Astyanax mexicanus: one gene and its partner. The protein of the gene in region 1 interacts with the protein of each later gene in a biochemical or structural test. Links are inferred from orthologs where the notes say so. Each region holds a gene or a part of one and is shown in the gene's direction. Other genes may lie near its edges.

Region 1 (7,994 bases):
CCAACCTACCAATCACTAGTGATGCCCCAACACCAGGAGGGCGAAGACTAGCACATGCCCCTCCGATACATGTGAAGTCTGTGTTAGAGCTTTTAAAGGCAGATAATAAGAGAAAATGAGCTTTGGCTGTTCAGTGATTCAGTTTAGGAGCAGCACTTCCCTGCTGGGTTTAGTATTTAATTACGGTCAGTGGTTAATACTAATTACAACACACCTGATCCAAATAACCAACTAATTAACTAACTAACTAATCAACTAACTATCTGCCCTCACTGAGACCAGGGATGTTTCTTAATACACAAGTACACAAGTCTGTACTCCCGTACTTGGAAAGTACGGAAAGTGCGGACTCCCGAGGACGGGAGGAAGTGGGACGGTTGTTGTGTATTTGGAACAGCTGTGTACTTGATGACGTCACCCTCTTAGAGGAGCGGAAAGCGTTGTTCCGAAAACATGAGCACATTTTCACCTAGCCGCTTTCTTAACAAATAAACCACATATCTGAAGTTTAAACCCCTACATTCTCGCATTCTAAAAATAACTTAAAACATTGTTTTTGCACACAGCAGTACTGTCTTTAAAACGTACAGGTGCTTACAGTTATGTACCTTCTCCTCCTGCATTACGCTGATACTGCTGCGAGGTGCATTCTGGGTTATCAGGCTGTAAGAACACAAGTCCACACAAGTCACCTTCCATGCATCCTCGATAAAGTGGGAGGAGCAAGAACACATCCGGGTATTAGTTGTGTACTTGGCAAACTGCGATCTTCTGAATTGGAACAGTACTTGGGCTGCGACTGATGACGTTTCCCGAGTCCACAAGAACACAAGTACAGACAAAAACGCAGATTGAGAAACGGCCCAGCTGTGTGTTACAGCAGGAAACTAGAAACTCCAGAACCACAAAGCTAATCTAGCTCATCTAAGAACCATAGAGTCTAAAATACTTAACGTAAAAAGGCTTAATGTGGGTTTTAAAGGCGTCACATCAATGTCAAAAGTCGAGGGCCTAAAAATACAAGTCGGGGGCGCAAAAATACCAGGTGAAAAAAAATAACCAACGTTTTTTAACATTTTGCGTGTGTAAATTAACTTCTCGTGAGCACAAATGTGAAACTAGCAAAAAAAAGGGAACCGTGTGCGCGCTGAAGAAAATATTGCTCTCAAGCTTAATTTTTCTCTTCTCGGGTGCTTTTTTTTTCCTTGCGCAATGTGTGAATTACCTGCAGCAGCTCCTGAACTAAATCACTGAACAGCTAAAGCTCACTTTTTCTTATTATCTGCCTTTTAAATCTCTAACACAGAGGCTACACTGCTCAACATCACCATACTGAAAGTGTTTCACCTGTTTAAATGCTTTAATGTTCCTCTCTAAAGAATAATAATCCAAAATGCGATCCGGGCGGAGTTCGCTGGTGTAGTGCAGAATCGAGTCTTCTGCCACTCCCTGCAGCTGTGCTGTGACCTTAGTTAAGCATTAGCTTAAAGTTAGCATTTTTCTAATTACTACCCTTAAACGATCTCGAAATTTAGAGGATCCAGTGATGTTCAGGAGGTAAATGTAAAACATAATAAAATGTACAGGGTTCTGAACATATTTATTTACCACAGAATGTGGTAGAGGCAAGTTTTTACAAAAAAAAAGGATTGGACTTCAGTGGTCTATGAGCTGATTGGTTGAATCAGGTGTGTTTGTAAGAGGTAAAGCAATAAAATGATTAGGGCAGGGTGTGTCTGAACCAGGATTGAAAAACACTGATTTAGCTGGTCTATCAATACGATCAACCTGATTAAACCCCACAAACAAGTATGACCAAGCTTAAACATGCTAGTTAACCAACATGACCCTCCTCCCCACACTGGTAAACCAGCATGTGAAGCAAAGCCACGTTGGTCGTCCAAAATGACCAAGAAACTCAATGGTTAACCAACATAAGGCAGAGTTTTTTTTCAGGTCATTTTTTATTTTATTAGATTTCCTTCTTTAACACACGGACCTTAATAACGAGCTTTTAATTACCTGATCAGTTGGATCTAGTGTGTTGGGAACAGGTAAATCTCTAAAATTGGACCTCCCGGACCAAGAAATACAGGCAGAGGAGGACTCTCATGTCTTTTCTACAAGTTCACACTCCACACATGGCCTTATGCGCTACAGCGAGCTTGAATTAGTGAACAATCGACAAATCAGAAAACAGGATTTTTTGTTACCTGGTAAGATCAGAAACAGGTTTCGGCTGCAGGCACACAGGGACGAGCTGGAGATGGAAAAGAACCTCCAGGATCATCAATTAATATCCTATCATTGTTTTCATTTGTTTTATTTAGGCTCAACCACCGACGACAGATACCAACCCACTCATTAGCTAACGATTTATTAGCTAATAGATATAGGAATAAAAAGACTTAAAATGAATAAAAAATAAGATAGAATAAAAATATTTAAAACATTCTACTGCAGATTTAAAAAAAAATCTAACCACTGTATAATGTGTTGAGGTCTTTTTTATATAAAATAAATACACACTATAAATAAATAATTAAATAATAAAATATAAAATAAATATTTTATATTTTTTATCAGCACTGGACACTTTAAAATAGTCACTTTTGCTATTTTACAAAATTTATTTATTCATTAATTTATTATTAAAGTATGTACGTCTAAACATTAGATGAATTTAGGACTAGTGTTTTAGGACTTTTTAAATGAATAAATGCATATTTATTATTCTTTCATCTGCACTGGGCATTTTTTAAATAGTCATATTTGCTATTTTATTAACTAAATAAACCTATTAATATTTATTTATTCATTTTAAAAAGTCTAAACACCACATTAATATGTTTACACATTTACATACTTTTTAAATAAATGAATACATTAATAAATATTTATTTATTTAATTTTAATATTTAATTTAAATTGTGGACACTTAAAATAATCATGTTTACTATTTTTACTAACTAATATACTACATTAATTTATTTATTATAAAAAGTCTAAAAAAATTTTTAAAGACCTAAATGTAGTGTTTACATCTATTAAACATGGTGTGTGTTGGAGCACTTGCTCTCTGTAAATAGCTCCGTGATTCTGCTCGCTGCTTTTCCAGGTCATAAAGCTCTAAACTGAGCGCAGTCTGAGAGCTGAAGCAGTATAATATGAGTGTGAGTGTGAAGTGAGCTAGTAAAGAGGTGGATTGAATTGCTGAGATTTTAAAAAGAATTAAAAAATAAAATAGAATAAAATATAAAAAAAATGTTCGCTGCAGTTTTTTAAAAATATAACCACAATGTAAATGTGTTTAAGTCTCTTGAAAAATAGTTACAGTAATATATTCTAAAAATAAATAAATCCTTTTTTTTTTATCTGCACTGGACACTTAAAATATACACTTTTTAGACGCTATTTTACTAAATAAATATGCGTATTAATATTTATTTATTTGTTTAAATGTGTTTAGGTCTTTAAAAAAGTAAATATATATATATATATATATATATATATATATATATATATATATATATATATATAATAGATACATATATATATATATATATATATAATAGATACTTTAGCTATTTTACTAAATAAATGTATGTATTAATATATTTTATTTGTTTAAAAATGTTTAGGTCTTTAAAAACGTAAATATATATATTTTAAAAAAATTTAAATAGATAATTTAGCTATTTTACTAAATAAATATACGATAAATATAACATATTTTATTTGTTTAAATATGTTTAGGTCTTTAAAAAAGTATATATATATATATATATATATATATATATATATATATATATATATATATTTTTTTTTTTTTTTATAGAAACTTTTGCTATTTTACTAAATAAATATACGTATTCATATTTTTTATTTGTTTAAATGTGTTTAGATCTTTAAAAAAATATTTTTTAAATATTTTTCAAATAGACACTTTTGCTATTTTATTAATTAATGATTTTATTTATTTTTTAAAGTCTAAACAGTACATAAATGTGTTTTTTTAAGGATTTTTTAATGACTAAATAAATATTTAATATTTTTTCAGGAGGAGTGAGGAGTATGATGGGAGAAGAATCCGTGTATCATTCGTTCATTTGATATTCAATTGAGAATCAAAATCGGAAAATTAAAAAACCAATTCGTTTTTTCGTTTTTTCGTTTTTGAATATAATACCAAAAAACGAATAACGGCTTGTATTTTGTATTCTTATTTGGTTATCCAAACAAAAATTGGAAATTTAAAAAACGGACCAGGAGCCGAATTTGATTTTGATTTTGAACTTGACCCATTTGTGTGCCCTGGAAGTTACTGATTTGTTTATTCTTGGTGGGTTTCTGTTGCGCGGGAGTTCACTGCAGTGTTATCTACACAGTCTGTATTGCTGTAGGCAGCATGGCCGGACTGGAACCACATTCTGGCCTAATTAAAGATCTTTTTGAAGGTATTAACTAAATATGACATTTAGCTACGGAACGTTAGACAAACACCTGAAAGATCCTGCCGATTTTTTCTGTTGTCATATCGTCTTCTTTCACTGCAACGCGTTTAGTTCCTCTGAACAAGATAAAACTCTCCATCCTCAACTCCATCCAAAGCCTACAGCAATACAGACTGTGTAGATAACACTGCAGTGAACTCCCGCGCAACAGAAACCCACCAAGAATAAACAAATCAGTAACTTCCGGGGCACACAAATGGGTCAAGTTCAAAATCAAAATCAAATTCGGCTCCTGGTCCGTTTTTTAAATTTCCAATTTTTGTTTGGATAACCAAATAAAAATACAAAATACAAGCCGTTATTCGTTTTTTGGTATTATATTCAAAAACGAAAAAACGAAAAAACGAATTGGTTTTTTAATTTTCCGATTTTGATTCTCAATTGAATATCAAATGAACGAATGATACACGGATTGAGAAGGGTGGATTATATGGCTGAGATCTGAGTGTAATCCCTCCCTCTGTCTGAGCTCTGCGCTCCTGCTGAACTGCACCAGGAAGTCCTTCAGGCGGCTGGAGGATCAGAGAGCAGCACGCTGGATGTCTCAGACTGGAGCTCAGCGCTTATACACGCTGTTTACTTTCTCCACACCAGCTCAGACTGCGCTTTATGGAGCCGGAATATCGGTGAGTAGCTCTGCTGCTGCTGGACTTTATTAAAGCTGGGAGTTATTTACAGCGTGGCTGAAGCTGACTGAGTGTAATACACGACTTTAAAGCAGGGTTTACGACTAACTACGACTGCTGGACAGAGTGTACTGCTCTATCCAGTTGCTGTATCTTATTGTTTGTCTTGTTTCACTATTTTGTACGGAGCCCGGGAGGGGCCGTGGATAAAAAAAATAATAAAATCGAGTGAACGATGTAGCAGTTCGTGCTCACGTTTTCTTTAATTCGAGTGAACGATTTGCAATTCGTGCTCACGATTTCTTTAATTCGTGCTCACGATTTCTGTAATTCGTGCGCACGATTTCTGTAATTCGAGTGAACGATTTCTGTAATTCGTGCTCACGTTTTTATGCGCAATAAGACAAGAAGCTCGGAGGGAAAGGAGCATTTTCTCTCTTGATCTGTTACAGGGGTGCAGTAATGATAATCAGTTATCTACCTTTATAACCTGCTGTTATTAATGCACTAGTGTTACAGTTAGATGTACAGTACAGTGAGCAGATTTTGCCTGGTGGTGGAATCTCTACAGCGCGTGGGGGAGAGCCGTCCGCGGCATCGGTTCCCCCGCCGCCAGACACCTGCCCTGCGCGCAGGTCTTCACGGAGCTTATTTACCAACAATGTAGACAAATACAGTCAATTCCAGTCATGAATAAAGGAAACAAACATTTTACTGATGCAGGACAACTGTGTGTTATTAAAACCAGATCAAAACAAAGTTATAATGCAATGTGCAAATGTGTTTATTAATTTCTAAATAACATTCAGCCAGCCTCCAAGGAAATGCACACCTTCTTAAATCTGGTTACATCATTATTACTTTTATGATAGATTTAATCTATATTTTAATAATTTGTATAATAAATAAACACATAATTCAGAAAATATACATTTAAGAAGTTTATAATTATTATATTTTTTTTATTTGAAGCTTGTGGCATGTTTCTGGGCAGGACACTGTGATTTGAGAATAAGCAGATATTCAGGACATTTCATCAGATATAGAAACTTAATTATTTTAGGAAACATATTGGAATAAATTATCAAATTGATCCAAATTATTATATGAAATGCCTATTTACTAAATATCTTAATACATTGTATTAATAGTATTTTAGACCAGCTATTTTGATTTTATATAGTGTTACATATTTAAAGCAGCTCTTATATGAGCCATTCATAGACAACTGTCACACCTTGCATTAATTTTGTATTATCTTTATTAACTTTTACAGTGTACATTTGGACCTAAGTCTTATAGCTGTATATTTATATAATTATACTTCTTTACGTTATACTATTGTTGAAAATAAGAAATTATAAACAGTTCCACATTGCATTATAACTTTGTTTTGATCTGGTTTTAATAACACACAGTTATCCTGCATTAGTAATGTTTGTTTCCTTTAATCATGACTGGAATTGACTGTATTTGTCTACATTGTTGGTAAATAAGCTCCGTGAAGACCTGCGCGCGCGGCAGGTGTCTGGCGGCGGGGGAACCGATGCCGCGGACGGCTCTCCCCCACGCGCTGTAGAGATTCCACCACCAGGCAAAATCTGCTCACTGTACTGTACATCTAACTGTAACACTAGTGCATTAATAACAGCAGGTTATAAAGGTAGATAACTGATTATCATTACTGCACCCCTGTAACAGATCAAGAGAGAAAATGCTCCTTTCCCTCCGAGCTTCTTGTCTTATTGCGCATAAAAACGTGAGCACGAATTACAGAAATCGTTCACTCGAATTACAGAAATCGTGCGCACGAATTACAGAAATCGTGAGCACGAATTAAAGAAATCGTGAGCACGAATTGCAAATCGTTCACTCTAATTAAAGAAAACGTGAGCACGAACTGCTACATCGTTCACTCGATTTAATTGTTTTTTTTATCCACGGCCCCTCCCGGGCTCCGTAATTTTGCTGTTGTTTGTGTCTTTTTTCACACCTTTAGATATACACACACTTCACACCTAGCTCTATAGCTATTAAAGCAGAGATTGGTGGCTGCAGTATTTGAAGTACACCAGCCACAACCACACTGGGTTACAGTGAAGCTGTACTGTACTGTAGTACTAGCTAAACCAGTAGGACTGAAAGTGGCCTACGAAAACAACTGGAGGGTAAAAAAAAAAACCCAAAACAAATACTGTTTTTCCACCAAGCTTAATGTTGAACAAACAATTAATGCAGCTACATAGAACGTCCAGCATATACAGTTGTATGAAAAGGTTTGGGCACCCCTGATAATTTTTATGATTTTCCTTTATAAATCATTGGTTGTTCGAATCAGCAATTGCAGTTAAATATATCATATAGCGGGTGAACACAGTGATATTTAAGAAATGAAATGAAGTTTATAGGATTTACAGAAAGTGTGCAACAATCTTGGGCACCCCAACAGAAAAAAATACATCAATATTTAGTAGATTCTCCTTATGCAGAAAATGCAGCCTCTAAACTCTTCCTATAGCTTTTTTCAGTGAGAGTCTGGCTTCTGGTTGAAGGTATTTTGGATTATTCTTCTTTACAAAACATCTCCAGTTCAGTCAGGTTTGATCGTTTCTGATCATAAACAGCCCTCTTAAAAAATAAATCACACCACAGATTTTAATAATATTCAGGTCTGGGGACTGAGATGATTATTCCAGAACGTTGTACTTGTTCCTCTGCATGAATGCTTTAGTCGATTTTAAGCAGTGTTTAGTGTTTAGGGTCGTTGTCTTGTTGAAGTATCCAGCCCCGGCCCAACTTCAACTTTCTCACTGATGCCTGAACATTGAATGTCCTTGAAAAGCTACTTTATTTC
Region 2 (7,427 bases), about 17 Mb from region 1:
TCATTTTTGTGAATAAATAAATCTCCATTAGTTAAAAGTTAACCTTAAAATTAACTGCCACAAGATCATCACTGGTTTAAAATAGGCCTCACAATTTTTGGATGATGTATTGTCCTAGAAATAATTTCAGTAGTGATGATTATTGTCAGTTTAATGGCATTTTAAAATTGTATACATTTTATAATTGTATATAAAAATTAATTTAAACAATACTTTTAGCATTCAGTGAACTTAGATTAGAAATGGAATATAAAATTGTTAATGTGCTCTTCTAGCTCTTCTGTCCATTTTTTCATAATTAGTCTAAACTTGTATGAATCTTCCTGTCAGAACTGTAGAGTATATAACTGATAAACATATATATTTTTTTTTTTTCATTTTTGTTTGTGTTTACACTGTAAAACCAAACCAGCTGATTAAACGAAAACATCACATCTTGAAACCATCCTTGTGTGGAAATGAGCTTCTCAGCTGGTTTTGTATGCATGAATTCGTATTGTTTTTATCTGCAGGCTCGTGCCAATGGTCTCCAGTCTTGTGTAATCATCATCCGTTTGCTCAGAGATCTCTGCCAGCGTGTGCCCACCTGGGGAAAGATGCCAGCCTGGGTGAGCGCTAAACCTTTATTCTACCTGCTTGCTTCGAATTTTGAATTGTGGGTATTGTAGTCTGCCATGTCTAGCATACAGCCATTCAGTGTAGAAACACGATGCACCGGTCTATTCACTAAAGCTGATGCACTCATTGTGGGCAGCAATATGCCGGTATTCTAGGTTTTAGAACTCTCTCTAGGTTTATAGTAACCTGTTGACACATACATAATGCATTTATGATAACAAGCAGTGGGACTCTACATATAACCACATCAACCATTAGTGAAACCAGCTTACAAAACAGTTTTGAGGCTAACCAGCTTCTGTTTGTAATAACCTAGAGAAGATGATCATCTCTCATTTTTCCTAAAACTCTTTGCAGGCCATGGAGCTGATGGTGGAGAAAGCTATCAGCAGCGCATCAGGTCCTCTGAGTCCAGGAGAGGCCATGCGGAGGGTTCTGGAGTGCATAGCAAGCGGAATCCTCCTTCAAGGTGTGAAACAATGTATAAAGCGGCCTTTATATTACTTAACTTAGGCTCGTAATTATAGAACTAACATATTTACTGAATATCATCATTAGTTGTTACATGATTAATAGTACTCAATAACTATGACTACATGCTGATTAATTTCAGTCACTCTTGATAATTTTATTCACTAGTCCAATTTTCTCCTTTCAGATGGTCCAGGCTTGTTTGACCCCTGTGAAAAAATCCAGACGGATGCGCTGGGGTGCATGACTAAACAAGCTAGAGAAGATGTAACTGCAAGCGCTCAGGTATTTGAAATGTTATCATCAGATCACTTTAATTTCTAGAAGAGTAAGAATGACCTATCTATGACTGTTCAGATGATTTTATTTTTAAACCTTCTTATCTTTGGATTTTAATCACTGAGCATCTTTATATTGTGTTTAAGAAGCTCTTCATATTTTGTTCAAAAATGTCTTGCACTATTACTCATCTGGAAATGTCCTGAACCTGTATAAAAGCAGATGATAAGCAGTGTATTTCTCTGTCTTTCAGCATGCTCTGCGGTTGTTAGCGTTTCGTCAGGTCCATAAAGTTTTGGGAATCGAATCTCTGCCAGCATCCAAGGCCAGTGCTCGAAACCGCAAAAGACGAAGAGATGGTACAGACATATGTGAGGGGGAAGGCGAAGGAAAGAAAGACAAAAAAGATGATTCACTAGATGCTTGAAATATACCAGAACTTACTGGCATCTTTATTATGTGTCATTATTTATTTTCTCTTAGAAATAATAAATGAATATGTGTCACTAAAATGGGCAAAAGTAACAGTCTTGACATTTCTGCAGTTTTAACGCAAAGGGCAAGAAATTAAGAAATGATCCCTCCCTTTCCTCTTTTTATTACTGCTGTACTAAGAATAGATTTAGGAAACGATGATGTTCAAAATAAAAAAATGCATTCCATGTTTGGTGTAGCAGAAAGCATCTAAATACTGCTACTATAAGATCACTGATCAGTGTGTAACACTGTTACTAACCTGATGTAGGCACATTTATTCAGTAATAGCACTTAAAACTAAAAGCTTTAACCACTTAAATAGAGGCCAGTTGCTTTATTTTTATTTTGATGTTTACACAAGACCTTAGATTATGGGTCCAGCCTAGCCTTACACTAAAAGTGTAAATACTTTTACGACTAGGCTTAATTTATGTGTTGGGAAAACCAATCCCTAATGTATATCACTGAAAAGAGATTTGAGTTTACATAGTCCGAAACTCAATCATAAGACGTATAGGACTTAATAAAACTCCACCGACAGCTTATAAAGTGAAAAAAGGTTCAATACTGTAAGAAATGTTCTCAAAAAGAGAAACAGTTTTGTCTAGTTGTTTGTGAAACAAACAACTAAGGTTGAAAATTAGAATACATTTGTTGGGGCAATACCAGTAAATTAATCAAGGGTTCATGTGATTTTTGTTTCAGTGGCAATTGTTTTTCTTTTTTCTCTTTTGCACATAAATATATCATATATTGTGAAGCTCTTAAAGTATGACTGAGGTAGAGGGGGTGTTCGTGTCATAGCAGCTTGTTTGTGATTTGTATGGAGGGGAGAAAGCAGATTTTACACACTTTTGTTCTGAAAGTGCGATGATGATGGTGAGGATGATGTTGATGATGATGTTACTGTTCTCTTCCTTGTGCCTGAAATTAAGGGAGTTCAAACGGGCAAATTAAAGTCTACTTGAAATGTGAAGAAGATGAGTGAATATTTTAGTTATTTCATACTGTGATAACATAATGCAATAGTTTTATTATTATTATTATTATTATTATTATCATTATTATTATTATTATATTTGAGGATGCAACATCCTGTGCATTTCTATATAAAGTATATTTTGTTCTGTTTTTTTTTTTTCTTTTTTTGACTTTAGTTTCACTGGTTTTATTGTGTTCTTTGATTATGGAGTGTTACAATCGTTTTTAGGAATGTTTAGTAGTGTTTATAATGGCGTGATTTATTTTTTAAATGTCTCTGTAGTGCTAAAAAGTATAATAAACTATCAGATCCACATAAAAAGTGTGAGTCTATTTATGTGTCTGGAAGGCTGTTTTCACTGTAGTTATAATATAATATACATATATTATGTCTATGGTTGTCACCCTGCTGTTAAAAAGTCTTAACCTGCCAAATACAGAGCAGGATGTGCAGCCAACAGTAGCCCAGAAGGAGGGTCTTAGTAGCCAATAGTAGCCAGCACCGTTTGTACGGTAGTAGCACAGGAGGTTGGTCAGCTCAGAGGTCACTAATAGGCGGACCCTGGTCCGGACCCAGACGTTTTCCAATGCGGACCCAAACCGATGAACTACTGAGAAGGATTTAATTCTGACATTGTACATTTAAAGCGACTGAGCGTTTCTGTCTTCTGTCGTGCTTTGTGGCGCAGTGAACTCGCAGACCAATCCCGTGTGTTGTAAGATCACCAAATGCTCTCCTCTGCCAATCAGATCTGTGCAGATGCAGGAGCGCGGAGCATGCACAGGCGAAAGCAGGCAGTGAGAAGTTGCAGTCGTAGGATAAAGCAAGAAAGGCTAATCAAGATGGTGCACCAGAAAAAGAAAGTAAAACACTACTGAATTAAATACCCCTGCTATAGCCAGTCACAGTGCGGGAAGACACATTTTGACGAATTGTGACAGGGAAAAGTGGTCGCAACTAAAAGGAAGATTTATAGGAATTAATTTTGTGAAAAACTGAATAGTAATAGTAAAGCTATTTAAATACGAGAAGACCAAAAAACTGTTACTTTCCCACACTGGTGCCCTGCTCTTTTCCTCACAAAATAAACTAACAATCGTTTTTAAGAATGTTTAGTAGTGTGTATAATGGCTTATTTATTTTTGTAAATGTCTCTGTAGTGCTAAAACGTATATTAAACACAAAAAAGTGTGAGTGTATTTGTGTGTCTGGAAGGTTGTTTTCACCCTTCTGCGTTAAAAAGTGCAGGACTCAACCTGCCAATCACAGCTCGGGAGGCGGAGCCTAGCAGCCAACAGTATCGCAGGAGGCGGACCCTAGTAGCAAGTAGACGTACAGGGGGCGGGGCCTAGTATCAACTAGAAGCGCAGGAGGCGGGCCCTAATAAGCCAACAGTAGCGCAGGAGGCGGAGCCTTGCAGCCAACAGTGGCTCTGTAGAGGCGGAGCCTGGAAGGCGGGCCCCAGAAGCAAGTAGGAGCGCAGGCGGCTGCTTGGCTGGTCCTAGTTAGCCAATCACACCGCGTGAAGGCGGGTTTGCCGAATTGTAAAAGGGTGAGTGTAGTCGCATCTTCCTCAAAACACTTCAACTCTTCCTGCAGTCGGTTATTCTGCTCCATTACTGACCTGACATCTTCCTGCAGCTCCGGTAAGTCAGACTAAACACTTAATCTTTAAACAATAAACCACAGCGAGACTAACTCAACACACCGTGTTACAAGAGGTTGGAAGGATATTGCTGATTCTGGCTTCAAGCTTTTCTAATGTAACCAATAATAGTAAAGTAATAATAGCCCACCAGCTGAGTATAGTATAATGATAAAGTTCAGCAAGTAATTTGTTAAGTGCTGCATATTACTTATAACATGTTGTTGCTATTGTTGTATAATAAAAATGGTAATCTTTACAGCCAACAATGATAAACACAAGCATAAGCCAACATCTAACAAAAAGAAAGGGAGAAGTATATCTAAAAGCTACATAAAATAAGTACTGAGTATATTATTCATATATATTATGGAAGTGAGCATAACTAGTATCTTTACATTTCTAATTCATTTCTTAATTTTACATTAAACTTGGTAAGTTTGTAAAATATTTTTTAGGGGCATAAACTAACCTCACAGTGAGGTGGCTGTACATTAGCCTCACTGTGACTTTAAAACATTGTATTACAGCAACTAAGAGAAACATGTAATGTTATATAAATACAAGAAGATGGACGAAACGTGTCACAACTGTTTACTTACAAAAACGTGTGATTTATATTTTACCCCCTGTTGCTTCCTGCACACTGGTGCTCTGCTCTTCTTCTCATATAATCAAAACAAGACTTTTTAAAAGTGGTCAAAAATTATATATTATAATAAATTTCAATACCTTGTTCTTGTTTGTATTTACTCTATAGGAAATCTGATGCTTCTGGCCAAGTTCAATTTTTCTGTTCATTTCTTCACTGGGGATGGCTGCGGTAAAGACACACACACTCTACAGTGGTTCTACTTTTTGTTACACTGCTTACTTCTGCAGTTGTGAATGAACTCTACTTTTTTATCCTTATAGAAAAGGTGGCAACCTGGTACGCAGTGTGTCGCCAAGTGTGACCACACCAAGCCTAAAGGGAATGAGATTGCCTATCTTAAAGGAGACATCCTTACAATTTTGGATGTTTTGGAAACGGTATGCTTTTGATTCCTTGTCACGTGGCTACGAACTTCCTCAACCTGTTTAGTGCAACCTTGCACCATAAGTGTTAAACCTATAGCTGGTATAAACTGCTGCTTGTCTGTAGATCGAACTGCTGCAGATGGTTATTACGACTCTTGCTTCTTTAAATTTAACGATATACCAACAAAATACTACAATATGTTTGTAATATTGCTTGTTCTGTTTGTAATCTACTATATTTATTAAAATACACATCATATTGAAGGTGAGCCAATTTATCAAAGTTATCCATGTTTTTTGAAGGCCTTAATTCATCTAAACAACTTTGACTGAATCATCCGAGATAGGTCAGGGTTTTTTATGACACAGTAAATCATTAAATTTAATGATTGCAGACTCTATTTAGAAGTGGTCTTCCAGATGTACTCTATTATAAAGCTGTAATGGCAGCTGAAGAAATACATTGTTATACATTGTTATTTTTACAGGGAAAGTCTATCTTCAGAGCCAGACACAACAGAACAGGTGAAGAGGGTGTACTTTCTGCTTCTAAAGTGCGAGAGCGGGAGGTCCTGCGTGTAGACCCCAACCTTAGCCTTATGCCGTAAGTCTGTAAATTTATAAATCTGTAAAAAAAATACTTGATTCTAGATCACCCACTAAATTTACTAGAGATGCACGAAAATAAACATTTCGGCCGAAACGGAAGACAATGAAATAGTTTGCCTGAAGGCCAAATACCAAATAATTAACACTAATTTTTCACCACTGCATGAATGAAATTGCCTTAATGTATTTTGTCTTGCCTTTAAATTAAATGATCTTTGTTCTTTATATCTTTTTTTTTGTCACGTTTTTTGTCTGAACTGCCATGTTCTGTAGAATAATTTTGGTTATCAAATATTCAGTGAATCCCCAATATGTACTCTGCAGAGTTGCCAATTTTTTCAGTAGACCACATAAACCAAACGGTATTTTATAGTAAGGGTTTGCCATATCTTATCGTACACAATATATCTTGACAGTATTTTTGGAATCTAAAAATCAATATGGTGATAATAGCAGTATTCTATATTAAAAGCATCTATTGTTTACTCTTAAACTTAAAATGTTATGCATCCATTAAAATGCATACTCTGCAGTGTTTCTTTCACATTGCCAAAAATATTATTCTAGCAAAAACAGCCTGAATCATTTGATATTATTTTAGGGCCACATTATCAATCCATACTTTGAATATGGCTACAGTATCTATTCACTTTATATGTACATCCACAAACCCATGCTGTGGTGGATCTACTGTGGCTCTGTTATAGAGGCATGAATAAAGTGCACCTACAATACAGTGCAAATAACACTGTTAGAGGAGCACAGAAGAACACAGTTAGAAGAACACAATTAGAAAAACTGTTTGGGTGCTGATCTTTTCTGTGAACTCCGGATAATGTATGAATTTGTTCAGGTTCACCAGCTTTACCTTATTGAAAGATTTCAGAAACTAGGTGTAGGATGGGAACTGGGAATACTGGCCTTCCTCCTGTATAGCACTAATAATGTCAGTGTTGTGGAATAAACTGATGCTTATTTTTATAAATGCCAAGGCTTACAATGGGCAGGTACAATGTCCTCAATATTCATAATATCACAGTTTGGTCCAGTTAGTGTAAGCAAGGCCAATGTAAGCCTTTAATCTACACTTAAAGACCATCATACCATATCCATAGCCATGGTTTAATTAATATAATTTATTGAAACCAGACTTGTTTGCACAAAAGTAACTGTAAGAGTGTGTGAATGTATGTGTGTGTGTGTGTGTGTGTGTGTGTAGGAGGGGGGTTTTACTTCCTGTCTGTATGCTGTGTTTGACATGTTCATTGTGGTTAGGTGTGGGTAGAGTGCAGTTTGCATGTAAGTTATTTGTTGAAGTGTGGGGGT

Evidence for each region.
Region 2: the proteins of lrrk1 (region 1) and matk form a complex in vitro, tested with the Homo sapiens proteins (2 studies listed by BioGRID and IntAct, with this or other methods). The link is inferred for Astyanax mexicanus from reciprocal best matches to the Homo sapiens genes LRRK1 and MATK.

What each region holds. Positions count from the first base shown.
Region 1 is NC_064423.1:9,982,327-9,990,320, reverse strand, and holds the start of lrrk1 (leucine-rich repeat serine/threonine-protein kinase 1), read left to right. Parts: upstream 1-4,990; 5' UTR 4,991-5,140; intron 5,141-7,994.
Region 2 is NC_064423.1:27,338,744-27,346,170, forward strand, and holds the start of matk (megakaryocyte-associated tyrosine-protein kinase), read left to right. Parts: upstream 1-4,364; 5' UTR 4,365-4,473; intron 4,474-5,232; 5' UTR 5,233-5,286; coding exon 5,287-5,295; intron 5,296-5,387; coding exon 5,388-5,504; intron 5,505-5,980; coding exon 5,981-6,096; intron 6,097-7,427. Other genes in the region: zfr2 (zinc finger RNA-binding protein), read left to right, coding at 513-608, 976-1,087, 1,277-1,374, 1,622-1,795.